Linked DNA regions of Nothobranchius furzeri. Each later gene encodes a partner of the first gene's protein in a complex. Links are inferred from orthologs where the notes say so. Each region holds a gene or a part of one and is shown in the gene's direction. Other genes may lie near its edges. The genes, in order: med24, crsp7, med7, med25, med4, med19a and med31.

Region 1 (3,500 bases):
CACTGATGTGTTTTTATTAAAGTAGACTTGCTGGTTTGTAATTTGGTTATTCCACATTCAGTGTTAATGCAAAAAGAAGTTTGTTTCAAAGTTAAAAGGTTCAAAATTGCATATATGTTGATAAAGAAAATGTGCAAATTTGCCGTCACTTTTTCAAAAAATAAAAAGTTTGGCCCGCGACTTCGTCCCAGATTTTCATTTCGGCCCAGTGTGAATTTGAGCTTGACTCCCTTGAAAAAGACAAACGCACAGTAATGAGATAGGTTTTGCTTTCTGTTCTACAAATGGACAGTAGAGGGTGCTAAAAGCAAGCCAAAACTGCCTAATTCCCCTTTAAGTTTTCATCATAAACTTAAAGAGACAAAACTAACGAGTGGAAATGGTGCAAAACAGCTCCTGGTGTCCAGATTCAGCGCTGTAGACACACACACCTGTGTATATTTACCTTTCATTGTTTTTTTCCTCAACAGCGAATCCCTGCTCCTCTTTTTATCTTGGAGATATGGAAGGCGTGTTTCACCGGACTCATCGAGTCACCAGAGGGCACAGAAGAGCTGAAATGGACTGCCTTTACTTTCCTCAAAGTAGGAAGATGTGATTCAAAGATCTTGACCCTGAGCCCACATCTGCTATTAATCCTTTAGTCTTTATTATGACTGCATTTAACGTGGCACAGACTTTTATTTAGCATTTTCTAGAGTTTAGTAAAGCGACATACCCCTTAACGCCTGGATTCATTTTCAATTATAAAAGTTTTTTTCACTTGTGGATTTTCTCAGGTACTTGCAGTATTTTGGTTGCATTTGGAGCAGATGTGGGTTTGATGCGAATTTGCGACAACCGGCGTTAAGGGGTTGAAGGTTGTTTTCTTGAGCTTTAGGCATCGAAAATGAATTTCGTATTATTTGCTTTAGATCCCACAAGTTCTGCTCAGACTAAAGAAGTATCCTCAGAGTGATAAAGGACAGGTACAGTATTTAACCCACTGATTTCATCATGACAAGTTCTAATTTTTGCTGTGACTAATGTTTAAACGTTTTCCAGGATTTTGTTGAGGACGTGAACGCTGCGTTTCAGTTTTTACTTAAACTCACCCCGCTGTTGGACAAAGCAGATCAGAGATGCAAGTGAGTGATTCAAACTTATTTGAGTCATCTGGTAAGACCCTGCAGACGTCTCATTCCTCCTGGTCGTTCTTCACATAGCTGTGACTGCCTCAGCATGCTTCTGCAGGAGTGCAACAAGCTGGGGCTGCTGTCAGACCCAAACACGGAGAACCTCACATCCAAACGGTATGAGTCTTTGCATGATGCAGTACGTTTCACATGAATGTGATGCAGCAGAGAACACGTTTTAAGTCTCCTTACCCCCACCCCCCTCCATCTTTCCTTCTGCACATTTCATTAAGCACCGAGGACAGAGAGTTCTCCCCAAGGCTAAAAACAGCAGAAAATGCAAACATCCAACCGAACCCAGGCCTTATCCTGAGAGCTGAGCCCACTGTCACCAATATTCTGAAGGTAACTAACCCAAACAACACCTAGAGTCATGTAACGATGTGAGCTAAGAAAATAACTTGAAGCAGAATAGTTCCTAAACTGCGAATCTCTTAAAGAAGCATCCCCCCCCCCCTTCTTTTTCTTATCAGACGGTAGATGCAGACCACTCAAAGTCACCCGAGGGTCTTCTAGGTGTTCTTGGACACATGCTGTCAGGGAAGAGCCTGGATCTGCTTCTGGCAGCGGCGGCGGCCACTGGAAAACTCAAATCGTTTGCCAGGAAATTCATCAAGTGAGTTGATATGTGATGTAACAGCAGGTGAGGACATGTTGGAGTTTTACCACCGCCGGTAATCTTGGTTTGTATTCTTCCTGCCTCTAGGCTCAATGAGTTTCCAAAGCACATCAGTGGAGAAGGATGTGAGTTGATGTTCCAGTTTTAATGACATAATATCGGTGATCTGATGTACTAACGCTGAGGATGTTCCCTTCCTAGCTAAGTCTGCTTCTGTACGAGCCCTGCTTTTTGATATTTCATTCCTCATGCTCTGCCATGTTGTGCAGACATATGGGTCTGAGGTGAGCTTGTCCAAAAACACAACTATAATATAGGGAATGTGGAGTAACATGGATTTTCATCTGAAGATCATCCAATTTTAGCAGAAAATGCTTCATTTTTCCTTTATTTCCATCTCCATAAAGGTGATCTTGTCAGACCCCAGTCCCTCAGGAGAGACACCCTTTTTTGAAACGTGGCTGCAGACGTGCATGCCTGAAGAGGGCAAGACGCTGAACCCGGACCATCCCTGCTTCAGGCCTGAGCCTGGAAAAGTGGAGAGCCTGGTGACCCTGTTGAACAACTCCTCAGAGATGAAACTAGTGTACGTTTATTTTATTTGTAGGTGCTTTCCTATTTCTAATGGAGTCTTGTTGTTTTTAAACAATCTGCGTCTGTTTTTTTAAAAGTCAAGTGAAGTGGCATGAAATCTGCCTCAGCACTCCGGCAGCTATCCTGGAAGTTCTGAATGCGTGGGAGAATGGCGTCCTCTCTGTGGAGGCTGTGCAGGTCAGTCTTCACCTAACCTCATCATGTCTGCCACCCTGAACACAGAACTGCACTTAACTGTGCCATGACTTGTCACCCTTTGTGCGTAATCTACAATGACGTCTTATTTTGCCCAACGTCTTATGCGTGCGTTTTGTTTTCATGTGACAGAATGTGGAAGGATGTCATTTGAGTCAGATCCTCTCACCTCTTTTTCCATTCTTTGCATCCTCCTCACCACGTTTCCTTCCTCTTTTCTTGCTGCGACCATGTCTGTTGAGTGTAGAAGATCACAGACAACATCAAGGGGAAGGTGTGCAGCATGGCCATCTGCGCAGTGGCCTGGCTGGTGGCCCACGTACGGATGCTGGGGAGGGACGAGAGAGAGAAACCTCAGACGATGATCCGACAGCTCGTGACTCCAAATTTTGCGGAAAACACCCTGCAGTTTTATAACGAGCGGTACAAAAATAAATGTATTCAATTCAGCACCGTGATCAGGTTATGGTGACAGCCCACATTATCTCCTTTCATCTCTCCTCAGTGTGATCATAATGAGTTCCATCATGGAGCACATGTGCGCCGATGTTTTCCAACAAACGGGTGCCGTCCTGCGGGCCCCGGTCGAGGGCCAGGAGCCAATCCCCTACCGCAACCTGCTGCCCGCTAAAGAACCAATTCATAAAGCCCTCAGTAAGCAGTTCCAGGTGGTGCTGCGCAAAGGCTGGGTGGACAGCCGGGCTCTGCATCTGTTTGAGAGCCTCCTCAACATGGGGGGGGTCTTCTGGTTCACCAACAACCTGATCAAGGTAACGAGAATGAATAAAGCATCCAATATGAGCTCAGATGGTATATAAACACCTGCTGTGTTGTTCCAGGAGCTTCTGAAAGAGACACGTCAGGAGTGGGCCACGCGGGTGGTGGAGTTGCTCTACAGCATCTTCTGTTTGGACACC
Region 2 (4,145 bases), on another chromosome or scaffold:
TGTGGTCAAGGAAAAATGATCAATGGGACACGAAATACGCGTGAAACACAACAAGCATGCCTGACTTTTGTGCTTCTTATGGATGCTCTAATAGACGATGTCTTCAGTCACGGCAACGTGTCATTCATACGATTTAACAATAACAAACATTCAACTGTGTTAGGCTGATAAGTCTCTGTCATCTGCTTTGCTTTTGAACTATTATTCATTCAGATAGTGTAAAAAAAACGCTCAGTGGGGTCAGCTCTGAGGAAGATCGCAGACACAATCAAAAGTGTCAGCAGGTAAAAAACCTTCCCCGTGTTTCAAAAAGAACCTAAAAAAGCGGTCAGAAGAAAAACACAAAAGATGTTTGTAGTCTTTAGAAAAACTGCTGGCTCATCAAATCCCCCTGATTAATAAATACAAGGAATTAATGCCACACTTACTAATCATGATTACTTTAGGTAGACAAACTGTAGTTCTTGTCTGATTTCTCACCTGACACCGTGTTGTTCTATAGGCTTATGTAAAGTATGAAGACAAGCACACTGTCCAGTTACATTAGTAATTGTAATTTCAGGATTTGTTGTGCGGCGAGCCATGACCAAGCTGTCCTGTGATGTCTGCCGTGCCAGCCTGGTGATGATGCTGCATCTGCCTGTGATGACCAGAGCTACATTTGCTGTCTCTGCAGAACAACGGGGTCTTGTGGTCCCATCTGAAGGTGCTGTGAGGGTCATCAGAGCAGCAGAGTGGGCAATTCGCCAGGCATCAGTGGGCAGACGATCACAGCCCATCAAACCACTGGAGGTCATCTACATCGTGCACAAGAGGATCGGGTCAGAGGATGTGTTTTTGCTCGGGGAGCTCATCAGTGAGACACCGTACGGAACTGAGTGTCACTCCCGTACACTGTTGACATCTGTTGTCTCCCTGTTCTTTAAGCTGAGGATGCACCACCTTGCAAGATTAGCCACTCGTAGCTTTCAGTGTGACAGCATGAGCCAGAAGCTCTCAAAAGCTGTCCTTTTCACAGGTCCGTAGGAAATCACAATGTGCTTTAGCATCTGTCTTAGATCTGTTATTTTTATAATCACAAACATGTATCATCTGTAATAAACAGGTTTTTCATAACTGTCAGTCCGTCATTCAGTCCACCAAGTTGCTGCATAAATAAACTTGAATTTAATTTAATTTAAACGTTTCATATAAAATCGGTCAATCAAATATTTACTGAAAAACAACTCACAAAGTTTATATTTAAAAACGTCACTGTGGTCGGGATGTTTACTTGGTTACGTACGAACGTGATGACGTAGACACATCGTATCCCAGCATGCAGCAGGAGGCCGTTGAGGCATCCAGCAGTTGGTAGTGAGAGGAGGTCCGAGGCAGCAGCGACTCCGCTCCGCTCACATATTTCCGACTCCATGTGAGATCAACTCAGACCTACATGCGACAGAAAGCATGCTGCTCGGGCGCCCGACGTGTTCCCGAAGCGGCTTCTGAGTCACCCGGCTTTCGTTTTGGAGGATTCCTCCCTCCATCTCCTGGATCGCACCGAACAGGCAATGACAACGGTCTCAGCAACCCCGCAGCAGATGAAGGACCGGCTGCTGCAGGCCATTGACAGTCAGAGCAATGTGAGCAATGCTAAAGCTAACGCTAGCTTGTTTGCCTATCAACATCCACGCAGCTGTTCGGGTGGCACGTCGCTGTTTATACAAACTACGCTGAAAGGTGCGCTCGGCCTCGACACGTCGGATGTCTCGGTGACAAAAAGGCTCGGGGCGAGTTGACAGCTAGCATGCCAGCTAATTTAGCAGCAGCGCTGCGTTGATTGGACGGATATCTGCCGTTATGTAGCCTGTTAGCTGCTAACGTAGCTTAACACCAAAGCAGATTTGGTATAAAGGAGCAATCCAGTCGTTGTTTTACGAAATCATCTCATCTAAAGAAAAGTTTAAGTTATCCCAAACAGCACAGTTTTAGTGAAAATGTTTTATTTAAACAATCACAAAGTTTAGGGAACCAAGTGGCTGGAATAGCGTTGAGGAAATGCTCCTTCCTTCTAAAGTAAGTTAAATGCTAACTACCCTGACTAGCTAACACAGGCAGGTCCACCGACTCGGGCTAGGGCTGACGCTGTCGACAAGATGCTCGGTTTGCTCCAAGTTCATAAACCTTTGCTGAGATGATTCCAGGTATTTTTGAGTGTCTCTGTGCCACATCAGCTTTGCAACATCGTTCGGTTTCTGGAGCTAAACATCCAGCTGAGTTTCTCCCGATGAACATGTTGTTTTCCACCCCGGAGTCAGGGAGCAGTTAGTCCAGATCTCTGGAGTTCCTGTTACTGTGGGAATGTGATTGGGTGGGATTGTCCAGTGTGATTACATTTTCATCCACAGACTACAGCTGTAAATCTAAATATTACTGCCACCAGTAGAAGCTGGGGGTTACTAACTGCTGGCATGTCCTTGTTGCAGATATGCAACATGGTGGTTGTATTGGAAGTGATCGCTTGTCTTGAGAAGTATCCGATTACCAAAGAAGCACTTGAGGTAAGAATGAACGTGTCATAGGCGGTTAATGCCTACAGAGGCTGTGGTGCCAAAATAGTTTTCACTTTTTAATTATTTATTTTCAGGAAACTCGACTTGGAAAACTGATTAATGATGTAAGGAGGAAAACCAAGGATGAAGACCTTGCAAGGCGTGCAAAGAAACTCCTGAGAAACTGGCAAAAACTGATTGAACCTGGGCCGGCTGTTTCAGCAAGTGTCCCGGGGTCTACCAATGGCAGTTCCCATCCCTGCAAAACCGATCCCTCTCCCCCTGACATTTCTGTATCGGGGAAAGCGGTCACAGAAGTCACAATCCGAAGTGATGCTCACAACACATACTCGCCTAAGGCTGAGAAGTCAAGTAACCGCAAGCGGCGGGCAGAGCACAGAGACAGTGGCGTGTACGTAACAGAAAAAATCTCCAGGTTGTCGGCGTTTGATGACTCTGTTTCTCCGCCACCCACCAACGGGACTGCTGGTGGTGCCGATGCGTTGGCCGACCAGGAGGTCGTTCCTTCTCCTGACAGGCCTCGGACAGACCACCTTGAAAATGACAAAGGAAACAGAATTCCAGTTAATGCTGTCAAGCCCCGTCCCAGCTCCCCTGGCATGGCCAAAGCACCTAGCACTTCCTCGTTGATTAAAGTTGCTGTGATGCAACAGCAAGCTAAACTGGAAGAAGGGGGCGGGGGCTATTACCCAGCGAGGAGTCCCCGCAGTCTCACTTCCAGTCCCAGGAGCCTAAAGCAAGACCCCGTTTCTAAGCGTTCAGCGTACGTAGCAAAGGGAACGCCGGTCCCCAGCCCATCTTCTAGAGACTCCCCCCTGTTCTTCTCCCAGCCTCTGTCCTCCCCAGCACCGGTGTCTCACAGTGAAAAACTTTCTTCTCTTCGGTCTTCAGTGCCCTCTGCTAATTCATCAGAGGTATTCTCTCATTGCTCTCCCCAAGATCTATCTGCAACACTGGATTCCCCCTCCCCCCCGCCTCCCCCGCAGAACTCAGAGGTCCACAGGTTGGTGGTTGAAAGAAGCTTAAGTGTGTCTGATGACCCTGATGGGCCAGTCCTTAACTCTGAGCATAAAAGGAGGAAGTACAGGCCTAGAGACTACTCCGTTAACTTGGATGGCCTGAAACTAGAGGACACGACTAAACCTGTGCGGTTAAAAGAACGCAGACTGACATTTGACCCGGTCACTGGTCAGATCAAACCTCTGGTGCATAAAGAACTTTCTCCAACAGAGGACCCCCCCACTCCGGACCTGGGAGAGTCCAGGCAGAGAACTGAAGTCGTTGTCCAACAGCCCCCTTGTGCAGCCCCCGCCCCAGGTCCCAGCTCAAACCCCTTCCACCAGACCAACTGGAAGGAGCTGACTAGAAATGAAATAATCCAATCCTACTTGAACCTTCAGAGCAACGTGCTCACCTCCTCGGGGGTCCAGGCCCCTAGCGCACACTTCTTCATGTCAGAATATCTAAAAAGGGAAGAAAGGGAGACTAAAGACTCAAATAAAACACACGTTTTGCAGACGGACCATTTAACAGGAGATTTACCAGGTGTGAGTCGGGAGGTGACGGATGAGGACCTGGACAGAATACACA
Region 3 (3,975 bases), on another chromosome or scaffold:
CCTCGCAGAGTCAGAAGAAGAAAAGGCAAAGTTGTGGATGATAAACTTCGTAGATGCTGTGGAGCTTCCGGCGTGAAGCTGCGGCAGGCAGTAAACCACATCCTTGTGGCAACAAATGATTTGCGCAAGCAGAAATACACACTGTTTGATGCACAAACACTGTAGATGTCTACCCTGCACATGTACTTTCACTAATGTTATAGAGAATTAACAAGTTAAGCCCAAAGCAGGACTGTGAATGCAGAAATCCAGGTTTTGGTAGTACTTTTTTAAACAATTGGGAAGATAAAATGAGTAACAAAACACAAAACATCACTGAAAAAAGTTAAGATAAAGAAATATCTCTCTTTCTCTAAATGTGTCTTTGCATTTAGGGGTTACACGTCAAAATATTGTTATTTTTCAGAGAAGTTTAGACTGTTTACAGTGAATGCAGTCCATTAAATTCTTGATTAAAGTAAAGAGTAAAAACTACTTAAGCCACATAAAAATTTACAAAACTCATCTAGGTGACAAGGAGTAAATAAATAAACGTGAGCAAACCGGTTCGGAACATTAGGAATTAAAATGCTGCTCACTATCTTTTCACAAGAGAATAATAGAATTCAGTTTGTCATTATCAACCCAATTTCTTTTTAATATCGATATCAACCCTTTTACACCGTTCTGTTTGTGGCAGGTGTTTCACATACATAAGAAATCACAATCATCTTTTTTTATTATTATTATTTTAGGATAAAATTCATAGATTTCTGCAGATTCTGAAAGAGGACAAACAGATCACAACATGCCCTATAGGTCATAAATTGTAAGTCGCTTTGGATAAAAGCGTCTGCTAAATAAACATAAAGAACAAACAATAACTGACATAGTTTGTAAAATGAGAACCCGAAGGAATTAATATACAGGTTATTGTTTTTATGTCTTTAAAATTAGTATTTTCATTCAAAAATATTCAACAGTTATCTGAATATTTTAGTAACTTTTCTTTTTCATGTATAAAATCAGTTCAGTTTGGGCATCAAACGGTACTTTTTCCATCGATCCTCTGAAGAACAAAGTAAAAGAAAAACAAATTTTTCCGTGCTTCCGGATATTTCTACCAATCAGCGTTGAGCTCTTTCTGTGACCGCACCCCAATCAGCGTTAGGAAAACAATCACGAGGACAGTTCAGCCAATAGAAATCAAACAGAAACGACTGGTCTTTTCTGCATTTATCGAAGAAGCTATGTTAGCCCTGATCTAATTTTCCAACGATATTTGATTAACGTTATTATTAGAAGTATATGTTGTGTTTCTAAAGGATTGTTCTTAAGGTGGGTATGAATACATTTACTCCCTTCTCATTTACCTTTTATGTAGTTCGCTTCATTTTTGACGTGCCCAATTAACTACCGGGATTAGCGGTGGCTATAGTTAGCTAGGTTTCTGTACAAAATGCAGCGGTGACGCTAACGTAGTTCTGCTTGTAGTGTTTGTCAATAACACATTGAGTCCGTAACAAAATAAAGGTAACACAGAAGACAAAGGTTCAATGGTTAGGTGCGTGCTAGGAGTTGAATTTGACTACTTAAATACCTAAGAACAACGTTTCAGCCAGATATTAAACCTATAATTATTAACTATGGCTAATAAAGCCTAATTTTACTTCAAACTAGATTGCAAATGTTTTACGCCAAAATGAGCAGTAGTGTGTATACTATAATTTACGTGTCATTTTAAGTTCATATCTACTTTTCCTACCAACAACAGCAGTAGGTGCAACTTAAAAACCCATCAGAATCTAGTTTTGCTTTGAATGTTTTGTGCTGGACTGGTGCTGCAACACATTAGTTTAGATTTTAGACTAACACTTTACTGGAAGTGTATGCTGATTATTGAATTTGCCCCTCCAGCCTAATGATAGAATCCTGCAGTTATTGGGAGAATGACGTTTGTCGAATTTTTAAATATATTTTATGTACAAGGATTTTGAGAATCTTTTATCGAAACTCTCAAAAAGTAAATCAAACAATAATAAATTCTTAATAAAAACATTTTATTTGTTACTGCAGTTTACATTTAACAGTATTTATTTGTACAAATGAGGGGCATTCAGGCTTTTACTACAATCTGTTATGTGTAATAGTGTATATCTTTTGATGCAGAGCTCTACACGATATGCTGTTACCTAATAAGTTATTGTGCTCATTAGGTAGCTGTAATGTATTGTGTAGTAGTAGTAATCAGCTGATAATGTCATGTTTTTCAGCTTAGCCATCAGCCACAGCTGGTTCTACATGAATGTGGAGCCGAGTTTTAATCTGAAGATGGAGATATAACTATGGTTTTGGGCTGAAATATTAAATTTAGAATAAGTTGCACTAAACTGCCACACTGATAATTGCACATGTCTACAGCACTATTAGACACTCATCTGTACAGGTTATCAGCTAAAAAAAAGTTCATTTAGGCATTTCTTGATCTTTAATAGTGCCTGGAATTCCTAATAAATGTTTTTTCTTTTTCTATACTTTCAGGTCTGCATCATGGGTGAACCACAGCAGGTCAGCGCCCTGCCTCCACCACCTATGCAGTACATTAAAGAGTACACAGATGAAAATATCCGCAAGGGTCTGGTCCCAAAGCCGCCTCCACCCATTAGAGACAGCTACATGATGTTTGGCAACCAGTTCCAGTGTGATGACCTTATCATTCGACCTCTGGAGAGCCAAGGCATCGAGAGGCTCCATCCAATGCAGTTTGACCACAAGCGGCAGCTCAAAAAACTAAACATGTCAATTCTTGTGAACTTTCTGGACTTGTTGGACATTCTCATCAAGAGTCCTGGCAGCATAAAGCGTGAAGAGAAACTGGAGGACATGAAGCTTTTGTTTGTTCACATGCATCATCTTATAAACGAGTACAGGCCACACCAAGCCAGAGAAACACTGAGAGTCATGATGGAGGTCCAGAAGAGGCAGAGACTGGAGACGGCAGAGAGGTTCCAGAAGCATCTGGACAGGGTGGTGGAGATGATCCAGGGGTGCCTTGCATCTCTACCTGATGACTTACCCCAGTCGGATGTAACAGACGGTGTGTGTGTTGGGACCAAGAGTGTGTCTGCTGGATCTAGTTTTGGTTGTTCTTCTGGACAGGCCCCCATTCTGAAAACCGAACCAATGGATGTAGAGGACACGGGCGCCAGCTGCATGGCTGCAGGTGATCAGGACAAGAATGTCCCAAGTTCAAAAACAGACAAAACATGGGACAAGGATGCTGCCATGTGTAGTATAATAGATGAGATAGCATGAAGATTTACAGCACATGCATGTTTTTACTTTTCACTCAGCATGAAATACTTTGTGTGGGATAAAAATACTATTATTTGTACATGTTCTTTTCAAATTCAACTAAATGTACTTGTAAATATTTCCTTAGCGTTTAAATCTTATACAGATCTTTGTGTTCACTGGGCTCAATAAATCTATTTGAAACCGCAGCAGGAGTTTAGTGCCGTCACAAAAACGATGATCTAATATGGTTCCACATAAACACAAAGTGCTTTTGTTAAGAATTTGTTGCTAATTCTGACGCTGTGGTTTGCTGATTATGCATTAGCGGTAGATGCGTAGATCCTTTAGCTAGTCGGCATATCAAAGAGCTTGATTCATCAGAGACCTGAGTAAAATTTAATTAAGTCATTCTGCCTTCTTTTAAAATGTAATGCAATGTAGACAAGTTTAGGGTTGGGGTGTGCTGAATTGAAAGGTGACATTTGATAGGTTTACGTCTGTCAGTCGTCTGTACATGTGATACTTTATACATACACTATTTTTCCAATAAAAATTCAAATAAAACCTATTTAATAGTGATGTGTCGGTCGCGAACGAACTGGTTCTAAGAGCCGGCTCTTTGAAGTGAACGACAGGAGCCGTCTCGTCATTGGGAGCCCTCCCCTCCCCCCTCCCCTTTTGCTTTGGTGAAAGCTGCAG
Region 4 (4,180 bases), on another chromosome or scaffold:
GGATCTTATGCATGTACATAAGCCGGCTGTTGCAGCGCTCCGCCAATGACGATGGCGACCGTAGATCAAGGCAGATCAAAGAAGTGCTATTTCACAGAAGCAGAAACTGAGGTACCTGTGGGTGAGGTGGAGAAATGAAAGAAAGCGCTTTTGCAAAACAAATAAGAGGAAATCCATGGAGTGGCACAGCGTTGCTGAAGCCGTCAATGTTGTGAGTTCTTCAGAGAGAAATGGGGCAGATATAAAAAAAAATGGTCCAATTGGGATTCGATCCCCAGACTCCCGGGTGAAAGTCACGCACGCTAACCAGTCAGCAAAACAGAGATCTCCCTTGCCTAAGTAGCCAGGGCACATCATCAATTGGGTCACAGTGACAGGACACACACTGTCACAGACGCATGACATTCTGTCTCAATCTGTCCCCCTGCTGATGTTCTGCATTCCGTATTCTGCGCTTCAAGCTGTGTGTGTGTGTGTTTTTGTGTGTGTGTGCGCACGCGCGTGTGTGTGTGGGTGTGCGCGCGTGTATGTGTGCGCTCGCGTGTATGTGTGTGGGGGGGTTCTTGTTCTGTGTGAAAACGAAGCAGTACAAGTGATAATGCTGCAGGATTTCATAATTGTATCCTGCTCAGCAGCAGCACTGCAGGTGCTCTCCATGTCCAACATTTGTGTAAGCCAGGTCCTTATCCAACTTAAAGTTGCTCACATTTTTCTGCTAAATTTTCTTTTATAAATCCCAAAGTTTGCATGGAAAGTTGCTTACGCAGTTTTCTGACCCCGTGTTATAAGCAAGCTTGATAAATGAGGCTCCAGAGGCTTAAAAAACTCCAGGTGGATCTCCTCTCCATTCAGATCCTTGCCACCAAGGAGCTTTTCATGTTATACACACCCATACACACACACATACACACACACACACACACACACACACACACACACACACACACACACACACACACACACACACACACATACATACACACACACATTGAGTTTACTACATTTGAAAATAATCATAAACTGGGTGTGAGAATGGTAATACGTTCATAAAATAACTTTGAGTTGTTCTGGGACTTTGATCTCACCACCATCAGTGGTCTTTCTGCAGAACTGGGCTCTTTTCTCATGAAAGAGCAGTTTCAGTCTAAAATGAAGCCACAAACAAAACTATAGTTGTGTAAACATTTTACAAAGTAATAGGTAAAATCAAAATGAAAAGGTATTACATTTAGGACACATGTTTTCTCTCCTGAAAAGAATCTGTGTGAATGAGGTTTGGTGATAATTACTTAGAACAGAAGGGGGCAGCACCGCGCTGTTCAGCCTCCTGTCTGCAGAACGAAAATGGCGAAGAAGATGTTTTTAGTGGCGGTCGAGGGTCGTGGCGTCACTTCCGTAGAAAATTACCTAAACACGGTGATGTTAGCTGCTCTGTTGTGTTTATATTTGGTTTAGGTTCGTTTTGTTTCTCATTTAAAGCCTCCGCTGGTCGCAGAACACCATCAGGTCAGTTCTTATCTGCTGCTGACCAGATTCTATGTGAAGCTTGTTGGAACTTTTGGTAAAAATCGCACTTTTCTTGCTAATGCTAATAATGATGTTCATGTTGTGTCTTCGTGATGATGAGCAGGTCTTATTCACACCTGACTCTAGCGTTCAGCTAAGATGAACAAAGTTCTAATCTGCTGTAGGATTTACGTTAAATCATAACTTTTCTTATTTCCAGAGTGGGGCTTTTCTTAACCCTGCAGTGTTTACTTTAGACACTACAGGATGTTTTATACACTTAGCCGCCTATATGTAAAAACAGCAGGCTGTCTCTTATGTGGAAATAACTATGGGATTCAAAGTCCATTTTGCAGGATGACTGTACTAAATAGAAAGCGGTTTCTCTGTTTTTTCCACCTAGACTTGATGTTAGAAGCTTCACAGATAATCCCTCATACGATTGTGCGAAATATAAGGTTATTTATAATAACTTAATACCCAACCCTTTTTCTTATCTTCTGAAATCGTCTTTCCCTTCTTCAGGTTGTTTGGTTTTCTTTTAGAAGTTTTTCCTGTACTTTTGTTGCTTTTTAGTCGTTTGTATCCAGTTTATGCTCTTGATCATAACAGTGTTTTGTCTAACATGCATGAAAAAGTAAGGAATACCATCAAGTGGAAGATGAAGAGAAGTGTCAGATCTCCAGTGGAGGAACAGTTTCTGAAAGTCATCCCTCTATAAAAATATCGAAATCCGTACATGTGGAAGGTCCCTCGGATGATCATTTACTGTATGAGAGCTGCACAGTAGCAGAAATTAAAACATGTATATAGCAGGTTATTATTGAGATTCAAGCAGATCTTTGCTTTACTGACCATATATTTGCTATGTACAGAACAGTTCTATGCCGTATCACATCTTTATAGCTCCTACCTCTTTGGGAACCACCTTGTTGGTGTTGAAATAACACTTTTTGTCTGACTGTTATTTTTGGTGTTTTTCTTAGGTAAAAACACAAAAGAAGCCGCATGTAACAGCAAGCCAAAACAGATTTAGTTTGTTTTCTATGTTCTGTTAATGTCTTGTACCGGTTCAGGGCAAACCAAATAAAAATCATTCTTCTGTTATGGTCCTATGCCGGACAGAAACGTAGCAGAAAAGAAGCCAAAGTCTTAAGAAAACAAGAAAGTTTGGCTGCTTGAAAGCAAAATATGAGGAAATGAAGTTGGACTTGGAACGTTAGCATCCCACTACTTTCCCCATTTAATTATTAAAGTGTACACATGTATGGTTCAGCTCTGTATTCTATCAAGTTGCTGGAATTTGTTTAGATTTCTTCAAAAGCCTTAATAATTTGGTTCATTCCATGATGAGATCATCTTAATGTCCAGATCAGCGTTCATGGAGCCTTCCAGTAAACCTGGTTTCAACCAGGTGGCTGATGTGGTGTTCGTCATCGAAGGAACAGCCAACCTCGGACCGTACTTTGAATCCTTAAGGAAAAACTATATACTTCCAGCAATTGAGTAAGAATTCCTTAAAGGTAAAGGCTGTTAGTCTGTGTCTGCTTTTGGTTAGTTATGGAATAATATTTTTGTTTATTTTATCCGTCATAGATATTTCAACGGAGGGCCTCCAGCAGAAACAGATTTTGGTGGAGATGTGAGTGGTATTTTTATATTGTTTTTGCTGTGAGTTTGGGAGGTATTGTTGTTCAAAAACCAAAAAGACCCTCTGTTCTCTGTTTTTATAGTATGGAGGAACCCAGTACGGCCTTGTGGTGTTTAACACGGTTGAGTGCGCTCCTGAATCCTACGTCCAGTGTCACGCACCAACTAGTTCTGCCTTTGAGTTTGTCTCATGGATCGACAAAATCCAGTAATGCTTTGGGAATAGCTGCAAAGTTCTTAATGCTTAATATCCATTTTTTAATTGAAAACATGATTGTAATTTACTTTTCTTTCTGCCAGGTTTATGGGGGGTGGAGCAGAGAGCTGCAGCCTGATTGCTGAAGGGCTCTCTGTGGCTTTGCAGCTTTTTGACGACTTTAAAAAGATGAGAGAACAAATGTAAACGAGCATTTCGATTTTGATTTGCTGAAAAGAATTTGTCATAATAGTTTGTCGTAATACTTTTCTTAGTTTAGTCAAATTAGAACTAGGATTATGAAATTTCATGTGGAACACAAAAAAAATTTCTTTAATCATTATTTCTGATTATAATTGGTCATTCTGAGTTTTTCATGCTGGCTGAACATGACAACAGTCTCCTACACCTATCTCCTGCATTAGCTTCTGATATAAAATAGACGGTGAAACTCTAGGATTGGAAAATCCACACAGATCTACATCACACTGTCACTTAATGGGCTCGACACACGGGAGGCGACAAACGACCGCGATCAGCGAAATTTGTTGCTGTCGCTTTTATTACCTGACACACGGGAGGCGGCCAGCGCCAAAGTCGTCTACGCGTTCTGTTTCATGGCGAAATCTAAACTTGCGTTGTTTTGCTTGGCTGTGTCAGGTTGGAGGGAATTAAGGTTATTTAATCTGTTCAGAGTTAATAAAGCGATAGATATGATGTTTCACAAGTTACTGTTAGAGTTATGTGAAATCTTACTTGTGATTTTACTATATAAAACATAATCAACTTCTCCTCCATGTTTGCTCGGAGGAGTTTACGGAGTATCCT
Region 5 (2,680 bases), on another chromosome or scaffold:
TTTCATTTTTGAGTGTTTACATTTCAACTACTACCTATTATTGTTATTGTTGGAATCACTTTTCCTGGAAGATCTGAGGTACACTGGTGTCTATAATGATGCAGCAAAGTCTGCTGATTAGACATGCCATGGCTGTTAACTGGTTATCCTTTGAATATGAATTTGGATGTAACATTTGCAATCTGTTTTTCCCATCTAGATCATTGATCTGCTGGTGCAGAGGGACACGGAGTTCCAGGAGCTGATGGAGGTGGCCCAGCAGCAGGGGAAGGTTCACCAGGAGATGCAGCTGCTGGAGAAGGAGGTGGAGAAAAGAGACAGCGACATCCAGCAGCTCCAGAAGCAGCTGAAGGAGGCCGAACACATACTAGTAGGTTTGTTGTAGGAATTGCAATGCGGTGATATGATTTAGCACCATCTGTATGAGCTGCATTCCATTCCTGCAGCTGTGTGCTGCTGCTTGTTTGTAAACTGCTTAAAGACTGAACTTTTACAATAGCTGATGGGAATTTACAAACCAAACAAAAGCATGAAGCTGTCATGGAGAAGGGTGGAGCAGCTGCTGCTTCAGAGTGGGTTTGTGTGAAGTCTCCACCAACGCTGCTGGTTTTGGTCAACATGAATAATTAGTAGAAACTCACAAACACATCATTCTTTAAATCTGAGTGTTTTCTTTCCTCAAATGATTTTTGGTTCCCTTGTTCTTTTATTTAAGGCCACCGCTGTTTACCAGGCAAAAGAGAAACTTAAGTCTATAGAAAAAGCCCGGAAAGGTGAGGAACACACACACACACACACACACACGGAACACACTCACATGGAACACACACACAGAACACGCACGCACGCACACACACACACGGAACACACAAACGTGCACGCAGGCACACACACACGTAACACGCATGCACACACACACGGAACACACACACGCACGCACACACACACACATGGAACGCACACACACACACACACACACATGGAACGCACGCACACACACACACACACACACACACGGAACACACAAACGTGCACGCAGGCACACACACACACACACGTAACACGCATGCACACACACGCACACACACATGGAACACACACATGCACGCACACACACACACACACACACACACACACACACACATGGAACGCACGCACACACACACACACACACACACACATGGAACGCATGCACACACACACACACACACGGAACACACAAACGTGCACGCAGGCACACACACACGTAACACGCATGCACACACACGCACACACACATGGAACACACACACACACACACACACACGGAACACACAAACGTGCACGCAGGCACACACACACACACGTAACACGCATGCACACACACGCACACACACATGGAACACACACACGCACGCACACACACACACATGGAACGCACGCACACACACACACACACACATGGAACGCACGCACACACACACACACACACACACACACACACACACACACACACACACGGAACACACAAACGTGCACGCAGGCACACACACACGTAACACGCAGGCACACACACGCACACACACATGGAACACACACACGCACGCACACACACACACACACACGAAACACACACGTACACACACACGTAACACACACGCGCGCACACACACGTACACACACACATGGAACACACACACACACACACTAATGAAGTCTGTCTTGTTCTTGTTTTTCTTTCATTTGTCTTGATTTTGAGTTTTTAATTGCAGGAAGCATTTCATCAGAGGAAATCATCAAATACGCTCACCGAATCAGTGCCAGCAACGCCGTGTGTGCTCCACTCAACTGGGTGCCAGGTAGGAGCTGGAGGCCCCTGCAGTTCCCACTGGCTGTCAGTAGAGGGCAGGTTTGACTTCATTAACACACCATCCAAACGTTGGTGACAGGAGATCCACGCAGACCTTATCCCACCGACCTGGAAATGCGCAGCGGGATGCTGGGTCACATGGCAAACCTGCCATCCAACGGTGTGAACGGACACCTGCCAGGTGATGCTCTGGCTGCAGGACGGTTACCAGGTAAGTTAAAAAGAGCAGAATTAAAACACTTGAGTGCCGCGTAAGTTCAGGTCTTTATGAAGACTGGTTTTGTTTTATACTGACACTTCAGAATGTGTCTTGTTCCATACCATCTTTATTTATATAGCATGTATAAAAGTAGCATGGCAGAAGACCAAAGATGCTTACACGGAACAAATCCAGCACTTTTAATGAGATGAAGCATCAAAAACATTTCAAAATTTAGCATAAAAAGAGAAAAATAACATTGAGACTAAATAACAAAAGATGGAAAATGTACAAACACTAAAACAATCAGCTGAAAAATAGATGAAATAGAAGCCAAGATAAGCTGTATAAACTGTCTTTTATAACAACTAAAACATTGGAGTGACTTAACTGTAGAGTTGGGCATCGAGCATCGATGGGAACCGGGACCAGGAGTGAGTTTTTCCCGGAAACGCTCAAAGTTTCTTTGGTGTGTTGTTACTGTGTCTAGTTTCTAATAACATTTTGGTTCTTTTTAAAACACAGAAACCTTTCCTGTGTTTTAAAAAGAACCAAAAACGCTCAGTTTTTTATTTCAATTCCTAGATCCTGACCGGAAGAGGAATTCGCAGCTGACCTCCGTGAAAAACAAA
Region 6 (3,147 bases), on another chromosome or scaffold:
CATATTTTTACATCGTTTTCTTTAGCCAGTATGTACTAAAATGACCCTTAGGGTGAAAAAAATGTCACTCAGACCCCCACCGCCCCCTGTGGCCAGAATATCACACTTGCAACTTGTCCGGTCCCTGATGGACTTAGTAAAGTGGAACTGACATGCTTCTTTAGCAATGACTTTCTATGGTTTCCCTTCCTTGTGGTAAAAAAGTTATCCGTGCATCCCTAATTTACATAATAGGTCAGATGAATTTTTTTAAACAAGTGACAAAATACTATACTTTTTCAGGATTTTCTACCTGTATTTGTCATCGTTTAAGCCAGGGGTGTCAAACTGAAATTCACTCTGGGCCAAACTGGAGAAACTAGAACAAAGTCATGGGAAAATGTTTATGGATGCAAATGCTTAAAATTTTCTTTATCTTCTGATTTGTGTTGTTGAATGTTTTATATGGAAACAAACCATAGTCTTGCATTAATAGTTACTCTGGAATAACCAAAGTTTAAAATTAACAACACACGGGCAGTTAACTTTGAAATAAAACACATCAGATGGAAACTGAGCAGAAGCCACAGAGTCAAATTTGAGCGTTTTACTACACCGGAGCTCATTTGGCTCCATTTGGAGGTTGCTTTCTGCGCTTTTCACGTCGGCCACAAATAGATTACTGAGCTGTTGAAATCTTGATATTTGGGCTTCAAAGTTGGCAAATTGCTGGGTGCTAACTAAGCAGTCATTTTTTTGTTTGTCTGAGACCGAATCTGTGGTCTCCAGGTCCGCAGCCGTACCCTCCTCGAGACTGGTAGCATGGATGCTGCTGATAATGCAGCAAAGCATTCTGGGATCTGTAGTATTGGCAACATATGCACTGGCAGGTCAGTTCTCGAGGGCCAGGGTTTGACTCCAGTGGCTTAAGCTATAGTTAATCTAAACCTGCATTCTGACAGGTGCTGGGACTTCTGGGCGCTCTAATGAATTAGACTTTGAGGGCTGAGGCTGTATCTCTAAAACCAAAAGTTTAACTTTCATTGTTTCTGATTTGTTGTTTTTTTTTAGCCTCTTTAATCTCACCTGGACTCCTCACTATGGCCTGTAAATTACACGGATCCCTTTCAGCCACGCTCTTTATTTCCACTTTTATAGTGTCTCTTTTGTTGCAGGTATGATCGACTGTCCGGGCACTCAGGACGGCAGCTCTCTGCGCTCTCTGATAGATAAGCCTCCCGTTTGTGGGAACTCGTTCAGCCCGCTGACTGGTGCTCTGCTCACAGGATTCAGACTACATACAGGACCGGTACCACAACACTGATTATGCCTGATAATAAATGATCATCTTATCCCCGTTATGTAACATGTAGTGTTTTTTTTTTTTTCCAGCTTCCAGAACAGTACAGACTGATGCACATACAGCCCCCAAAGAAGAAGAGCAAACACAAACACAAGCACAATCGACCACAGGACCCCCTCCCACAAGGTCTGGTGGCGTGTTAGTGAGGTCAGCTGAAACAAGTGCTACGTGTTTTTCACCACACTGACACGTCTGTTCTGATTTTAGAAACTCCGTCAGACTCTGATCCCAAGAAAAAGAAGAAAAAGAGGGACGATGATCCTGACCGCAAGAAAAAGAAGAAAGACAAGAAAAAAAAGAAGGTGAGAAAATTTTAAACACTAATTAAGTTTCTAGCTGGGCATTAAAAAGATTTAAAATGTTGACTCGGAATAGCATTGTGACATAAGTCGCACAGCAGTTTTGTTTTTTCATCCAGTTCTCAGTATTAATGAGTACACCCCCTTTGAAGAGTACAAATTTAATCAGTAGCTCAATGAACTAAAAAAATTTTCCAGAATTTTAACAAGGCTGGGTTTTATTAAACACTTGCTTAACTCCATAACATGAAATTAAGGCTATTAATATGACTTGGATCACAAAATCTTCAGTTTTGCTAAAATTGGTTTTAGCAAAAAGGAATACACCCCTCAACAAAAACTACTACATCAAGTCTTCTAGGCATGGCATGAACAAGATGGTGACATATTGCAACATCGGGCTGCATGGTGGCACAGTTGTTGCACTGTCGCTATTTCTGCGTGGAGTTGCGTGTTCTCCCCATGCATGCTCGGGTTTCCTCCGGGTACTCCGGTTTCCCCCACAGATCACAACATGCCCTATAGGTTATAAATTGTAAGTCGCTTTGGATAAAAGCGTCTGCTAAATAAATAAACATAAACATTAACATCTATCTTTTTCCATTCTTCAAGAATAACGTGTTTTATAATCTGGATGCTGGATGGAGAGTGATGCTCAACCTTCAGAATTCCCCACAGGTGTTCAGATCAGGAGACATACTTGGCCATTCAATCACCTTCACCCTGTTCTTCTTCAGAAATGCAACAGTAGCTTTAGATGCGTTTTGGATCATTGTCGTGGTGGAAACGTGCACAATGATTCAAATTCAATTCAATTCAAAGATACTTTATTAATACCAGAGGGAAATTGATTGCTGTAGTAGCTCAGAATAATAATAATAATCAAGTCATCAAAGAGTTATTGTATATTACAATGGCTGTTGGCAGGAAGGATCTCCAGTAGCGGTCAGTGTTGCAGCCAAACTGAAGAAGCCTCTGACTGAAGACACTCTTCCGTTGTCGGACAGTCTTGTGAAGAGAATGCTCAGGGTTGTCCATCATTTTCTTGATTCTCTGGAGAATCCTTCTTTGCATTATCCCCTCCAATGATCAAGTGCATGGAGTGATGGCTGCATCTTCTCCTTCAGTATAGAACAGGACATCGTTGAGTTCATGATGCCATCAATGAAATGCAGCTCCCCAACACCAGCAGCACTCATGCAGCCCCACATAAGGACACTGCCACCACCACCACGTTTCACTGTAGGCACCATGCATTTCTCTTTGAAATCCTCACCTTTACAACGCCATAGTTTTGAAACCATTACTTCCACAAACTGTGATCTTTGTCTCATCACTCCAGAGTACAGAGTGCCAGTAGTCTTCATCTCTTTCAGCACGGGCCCTAGCAAATCCTAGGTGTGCTTTTTGTGCATGAGCTTTAGGAGAGGCTTCCTTCGTAGACAATACCCATGTATGCCATTCCTCTGCAGTGTGCGTTGTATGGTGTCATGGGAAACGGTCACT
Region 7 (4,009 bases), on another chromosome or scaffold:
AGCAAGTTTTCTCTGTAGAGTATAAATAAAACAAAGCTGCGCTCAAGGCTCACACAAGAACTTGAATCACATCCAATGACATGGCGACCGTAGATCAAGGCAGATCAAGGAAGCACAATATCACAGAAGCAGAAGTTGAGGTACCTGTGGGTGAGGTGGAGAAATGAAAGGAAGTACTTTTGCAAAACAAATAAGAGAAAATCCACGGAGAGACGCAGCGTTGCTGAAGCCGTCAATGTTGTAAATTCTTCAGAGAGATCTGTGGCAGATATAAAAAAGATGGTCCAATCAGGATTCGATTCCCAGACTCCCAGGTGAAAGTCACATGTGCTAACCAGTCAGCCAAATGGAGATCTCCCCTATTCAACTAGCCAGGGTGCATGATAAATCGAGTTACAGTAACAGGACACACACTGTCACAGACGCATGACATTCCTTCTCAATCTGTCCCCCTGCTGATATTCTGCATTCCGTATTCTGCGCGTCAGGCTGTGTGTGTGTGTGTGTGTGTGTGTGTGTGTGTGTGTGTGTGTGTGTGTGCGTGTGTGCGTGTGGGGGGGTCTTGTTCTGTGTGAAAACGAAGCAGTACAAGTGATAATGCTGCAGGATTTCATAATTTTATTCTTCTCAGCAGCAGCACTGCAGGTGCTCTCCATGTCCAAAATGTGCGTAAGCCAGGTGCTTAGTCATCTTAAAGTTGTGTACATTCTTCCGCTAAGTTTTCTTTCATAAATCCCAAAGTTTGCTTGTAAAGTTGCTTACACAGTTTTCCGACCCTGTTTGTGAGTAAGCAAGCTTTATAAATGAGGCCCCAGGGCTGGGCAGCCGTTATAGGGGAATACCACACTGTTAAGACCCTCAGTTAGTTAGTTAGTTAGTTAGTTAGTTAGTTAGTTAGTTAGTTAGCTAGTTAGTCTGATAGACATTAAATGGTTATGCAATTACTATAGTTTTGAACTATAATTTATAGTTATATTCTTCACCTAAATAATGGATGAGTTTATTTTTAAATGTTTGCTTAATCCAGCTTTTCTAAGGAGAAATAGGTCAATATTATATTATATTATATTATATTATATTATATTATATTATATTATATTATATTATATCATGTGTGCTTTAACTGCCCTCAAATAAATTCTGTTTCTATTTCTGTGGCTACCTCTAGTGGTCAGAAAGAAGCACTACAGCAGCCGTAAACTGTAGTGAATGTCGTGAAGGACGCTCGGTTTCCCGTCACAAGAGTCCGCTTACGTTTGATGGCGTTTGTTAAACTTAAACAAAGACGGAGGCTCTGAAGATTTGTGCTTTCTTAGTTTTGTGTTCAAATTTGAAAATATTAGGTTTATACCCCAGTCAATGACTCCTGTTGTCATGGAAACAGGTTGGTAGTGTATGTTTTAGCTTCGGTTTTAAACGGAGACAAACATTCCGGTTTTAAACTATTATTACAGCAGTTACGTTGATTTTTGGTTAATATGCGAAGCCGTTAGTTTTAAAATTCGTGTTGTTTTCCCACTTTTAGTGTTTTTAGTTGTTCGAACAAGTTTTAAGGAAAGTATAGAAGCACTTTAATAAAGTGTCTGGTTTTTAAGTGGAGTCTGGTGAACTAAACGTGTTTTCTGTTGTGCCGGATGTTTATGTGGTCCAGATGAACAGGCTCGGAACCGATTCCAGTCCGAACTGGAGTTTGTCCAGTGTCTGGCCAACCCGAACTACCTGAACTGTGAGTGACTGATCCACAGCGAGAGAAGCGGGTTCCTAACGTTCACAGAATGAAACATCTGGTTCTGTTTCAGTTCTGGCTCAGAGGGGTTACCTGAGGGAGAGACCTTTCATCAACTACCTGAAGTACCTGCTCTACTGGAAGGAACCTGAATATGCCAAGTTCCTCAAGTAAGAAGGGTCCGGGATCCACAAGCAGACCAAGCTGGTCGTACTTTTGGCTCATCGGGGAACTCATGTTGTTTTTAAAGAGCAAGTCACCCCTTACAAGAAGCGCACTTCACTCCCACTTCATGTTTGAAAAATGCAACAAATGCTGTTGCCTAGCAGACCGAGAGGGTGGAGCCACTAACAAATACACACACTCACGACATTGTGACATCATAATGTACCAGTTTACATCATAGCATACCTCTTAGCCAATAGCGGTGGCAGATTTAAATTCAAATGCAGTGCAGAGTTTTTACCTGACAACGGCACAACACTGACAGTTTCAGGCAGAAAATTAAAATTTTAACTAAAATACACTAAAGTGCAAAACTATTGACTACACGTGTCTGCAGGACAATTAGACACGCATTTATATAGTTTATCAGAAAAAAAATAGTTGATTTGGGGGTGACTTGCTCTTTAAAGAGCAAGTCACCCCCAAATCAACTATTTTTTTGCTGATAAACTAAATAAACGAGTGTCTAATCGTGCTGCAGACACGTGTCGTCAATAATTTGGCACTTCAGTGCATCTTAGTTAAAATTTAAATATTCTGCCTAAAACTGGCAGTGTTGTGCCGTTGTCAGGTAAAAACTCTGCACTGTATTTGAATTTAAATCTGCAACCGCTATTGGCTAAGAGGTATGCTATGATGTAAACTGGTACATTATGATGTCACAATGCTATCGTGAGCCTGTGTGTGTGTGTATTTGTTAGTGGCTCCGTCCTCTCGGTCTGCCAGGCAACAGCATTTGTTGCATTTTTCAAACATGAAGTGGAAGTGGAGTTATTAGACTCTGGTAGGGGTTGACTTGTTCTTTAAAGTGACGATCAGTCAAACACTGCATCGGTGTTTCTTCTAAGATGTACATGGGGCCACTGGGGTACGTCTCATCATGATGAACCCCCCTTCAAGGACATTGCAGTTGTCCTGGATATTTTTACACGCTTTGTTGTTGTTTAATAAAAGGTGGTTTTCCTGAAAAGTAGGGATGCTCCGATCCAGTGGCGTGATTTTAAAAGGATCGGGAGAAATTAATCAAATTTAACCTTTTAAAACAACAAACGTGACTTTTTTTAATTCATTCTGAGATAAAGAATTTCCAATGGAATACTACCAGTTTAGTTTTAATTTCAACAAGTTCCTCTACATCAATATTCTTTGTTTCGTATGCAAAAACAGCACCTTAACATCACACAACTTACATCAGGCAGAGATTCAGACACCACGCTGCAGCTGTTAGCAAACAGGCTAACGTCTGCAGCATGGTGGTATTTTAAACCGGACAGAAAAGGCAGAGCAACAGCCACGTGTAGTAAGTGCATACTGGGCATTCAACATGCTGGAAGAATGTTTCCATGATTCTCTGCCTTCAAACAAACTACCTTCTCTTTCCCCTTTGGGTGTCAAAATGAATCACCGGTCTCCATTAATTCCCAGTTTGCCACTTACAGTCCCAGTTCACAGTGAACTCGGACAAAAAAGTGGAACCAGCTGACAGAAAGGTACGCTAATATATGAAAAAATAATTGCATACAAACATGTTTCCTGCAGCCCCAAAGCCCAAAGCACAGGTAGGTGTTGTGCGTTAAAAGTTAGCCTATCAGCAGAGGTGCCGCTTACCTTATCCGTTACGGGATTGTGCATCCATCAGTCCAGCTGCATAATGAAGGAGGAAACAACCTTTAAATATATTCACAATGTAAACGCGTTTTTAAATCGGTGTACTTCCCAAACAAATGAAAGTGACAAAGGACAACTTGTAAGTGTTTTTTTATCTTTTTTTATTTTGATGCTTTGCTGAAAACGATCGGATCAGGAGCTAATAAACATGATCGTAACACGATTTCTTAAATGGTGGCTTTACAAGTAAACGCACAACTTAGACAATCAAAAAATGGGTACAGACAGAAGCTTATAACCCCAACCCCCCCACACCATATGAAGCTTAAGCTAAAATTTAAGAGTAGCATACTGATACCATAAGAGTTATACACCAGAATTGAAATTCATGAGCATGTATTCAAATCCACATTCTTGCTTTAAAAATAAAATAACCGTTAACACTTTCTG

Evidence for each region.
Region 2: med24 (region 1) and crsp7 share a complex: the UniProt entries of both Homo sapiens proteins name them as parts of the mediator complex. The link is inferred for Nothobranchius furzeri from reciprocal best matches to the Homo sapiens genes MED24 and MED26.
Region 3: med24 (region 1) and med7 share a complex: the UniProt entries of both Homo sapiens proteins name them as parts of the mediator complex. The link is inferred for Nothobranchius furzeri from reciprocal best matches to the Homo sapiens genes MED24 and MED7.
Region 4: med24 (region 1) and med25 share a complex: the UniProt entries of both Homo sapiens proteins name them as parts of the mediator complex. The link is inferred for Nothobranchius furzeri from reciprocal best matches to the Homo sapiens genes MED24 and MED25.
Region 5: med24 (region 1) and med4 share a complex: the UniProt entries of both Homo sapiens proteins name them as parts of the mediator complex. The link is inferred for Nothobranchius furzeri from reciprocal best matches to the Homo sapiens genes MED24 and MED4.
Region 6: med24 (region 1) and med19a share a complex: the UniProt entries of both Homo sapiens proteins name them as parts of the mediator complex. The link is inferred for Nothobranchius furzeri from reciprocal best matches to the Homo sapiens genes MED24 and MED19.
Region 7: med24 (region 1) and med31 share a complex: the UniProt entries of both Homo sapiens proteins name them as parts of the mediator complex. The link is inferred for Nothobranchius furzeri from reciprocal best matches to the Homo sapiens genes MED24 and MED31.

Annotation. Positions count from the first base shown.
Region 1 is NC_091756.1:31,522,625-31,526,124, reverse strand, and holds part of med24 (mediator of RNA polymerase II transcription subunit 24), read left to right. Parts: intron 1-470; coding exon 471-584; intron 585-914; coding exon 915-968; intron 969-1,044; coding exon 1,045-1,127; intron 1,128-1,205; coding exon 1,206-1,292; intron 1,293-1,408; coding exon 1,409-1,520; intron 1,521-1,648; coding exon 1,649-1,791; intron 1,792-1,881; coding exon 1,882-1,919; intron 1,920-1,995; coding exon 1,996-2,078; intron 2,079-2,201; coding exon 2,202-2,380; intron 2,381-2,465; coding exon 2,466-2,565; intron 2,566-2,830; coding exon 2,831-3,006; intron 3,007-3,088; coding exon 3,089-3,353; intron 3,354-3,422; coding exon 3,423-3,500. UniProt on the Homo sapiens protein: Component of the Mediator complex, a coactivator involved in the regulated transcription of nearly all RNA polymerase II-dependent genes.
Region 2 is NC_091751.1:71,980,944-71,985,088, forward strand, and holds the start of crsp7 (mediator of RNA polymerase II transcription subunit 26), read left to right. Parts: upstream 1-1,345; 5' UTR 1,346-1,553; coding exon 1,554-1,625; exon of another isoform or gene 1,626-1,722; intron 1,723-2,468; coding exon 2,469-2,543; intron 2,544-2,629; coding exon 2,630-4,145. UniProt on the Homo sapiens protein: Component of the Mediator complex, a coactivator involved in the regulated transcription of nearly all RNA polymerase II-dependent genes.
Region 3 is NC_091742.1:50,786,542-50,790,516, forward strand, and holds med7 (mediator of RNA polymerase II transcription subunit 7), read left to right. Parts: upstream 1-1,175; 5' UTR 1,176-1,317; intron 1,318-2,520; 5' UTR 2,521-2,529; coding exon 2,530-3,294; 3' UTR 3,295-3,844; downstream 3,845-3,975. UniProt on the Homo sapiens protein: Component of the Mediator complex, a coactivator involved in the regulated transcription of nearly all RNA polymerase II-dependent genes.
Region 4 is NC_091745.1:8,284,234-8,288,413, reverse strand, and holds the start of med25 (mediator of RNA polymerase II transcription subunit 25), read left to right. Parts: upstream 1-1,380; 5' UTR 1,381-1,506; intron 1,507-1,540; exon of another isoform or gene 1,541-1,561; intron 1,562-2,877; 5' UTR 2,878-2,887; coding exon 2,888-3,012; exon of another isoform or gene 3,013-3,029; intron 3,030-3,102; coding exon 3,103-3,148; intron 3,149-3,239; coding exon 3,240-3,364; intron 3,365-3,456; coding exon 3,457-3,555; intron 3,556-4,180. UniProt on the Homo sapiens protein: Component of the Mediator complex, a coactivator involved in the regulated transcription of nearly all RNA polymerase II-dependent genes.
Region 5 is NC_091754.1:35,370,361-35,373,040, forward strand, and holds part of med4 (mediator of RNA polymerase II transcription subunit 4), read left to right. Parts: intron 1-199; coding exon 200-370; intron 371-715; coding exon 716-773; intron 774-1,751; coding exon 1,752-1,838; intron 1,839-1,928; coding exon 1,929-2,060; intron 2,061-2,680. UniProt on the Homo sapiens protein: Component of the Mediator complex, a coactivator involved in the regulated transcription of nearly all RNA polymerase II-dependent genes.
Region 6 is NC_091741.1:91,561,880-91,565,026, forward strand, and holds part of med19a (mediator of RNA polymerase II transcription subunit 19-A), read left to right. Parts: intron 1-1,154; coding exon 1,155-1,288; intron 1,289-1,371; coding exon 1,372-1,468; intron 1,469-1,549; coding exon 1,550-1,644; intron 1,645-3,147. UniProt on the Homo sapiens protein: Component of the Mediator complex, a coactivator involved in the regulated transcription of nearly all RNA polymerase II-dependent genes.
Region 7 is NC_091750.1:26,556,666-26,560,674, reverse strand, and holds the start of med31 (mediator of RNA polymerase II transcription subunit 31), read left to right. Parts: upstream 1-1,209; 5' UTR 1,210-1,359; coding exon 1,360-1,384; intron 1,385-1,651; coding exon 1,652-1,726; intron 1,727-1,799; coding exon 1,800-1,896; intron 1,897-4,009. UniProt on the Homo sapiens protein: Component of the Mediator complex, a coactivator involved in the regulated transcription of nearly all RNA polymerase II-dependent genes.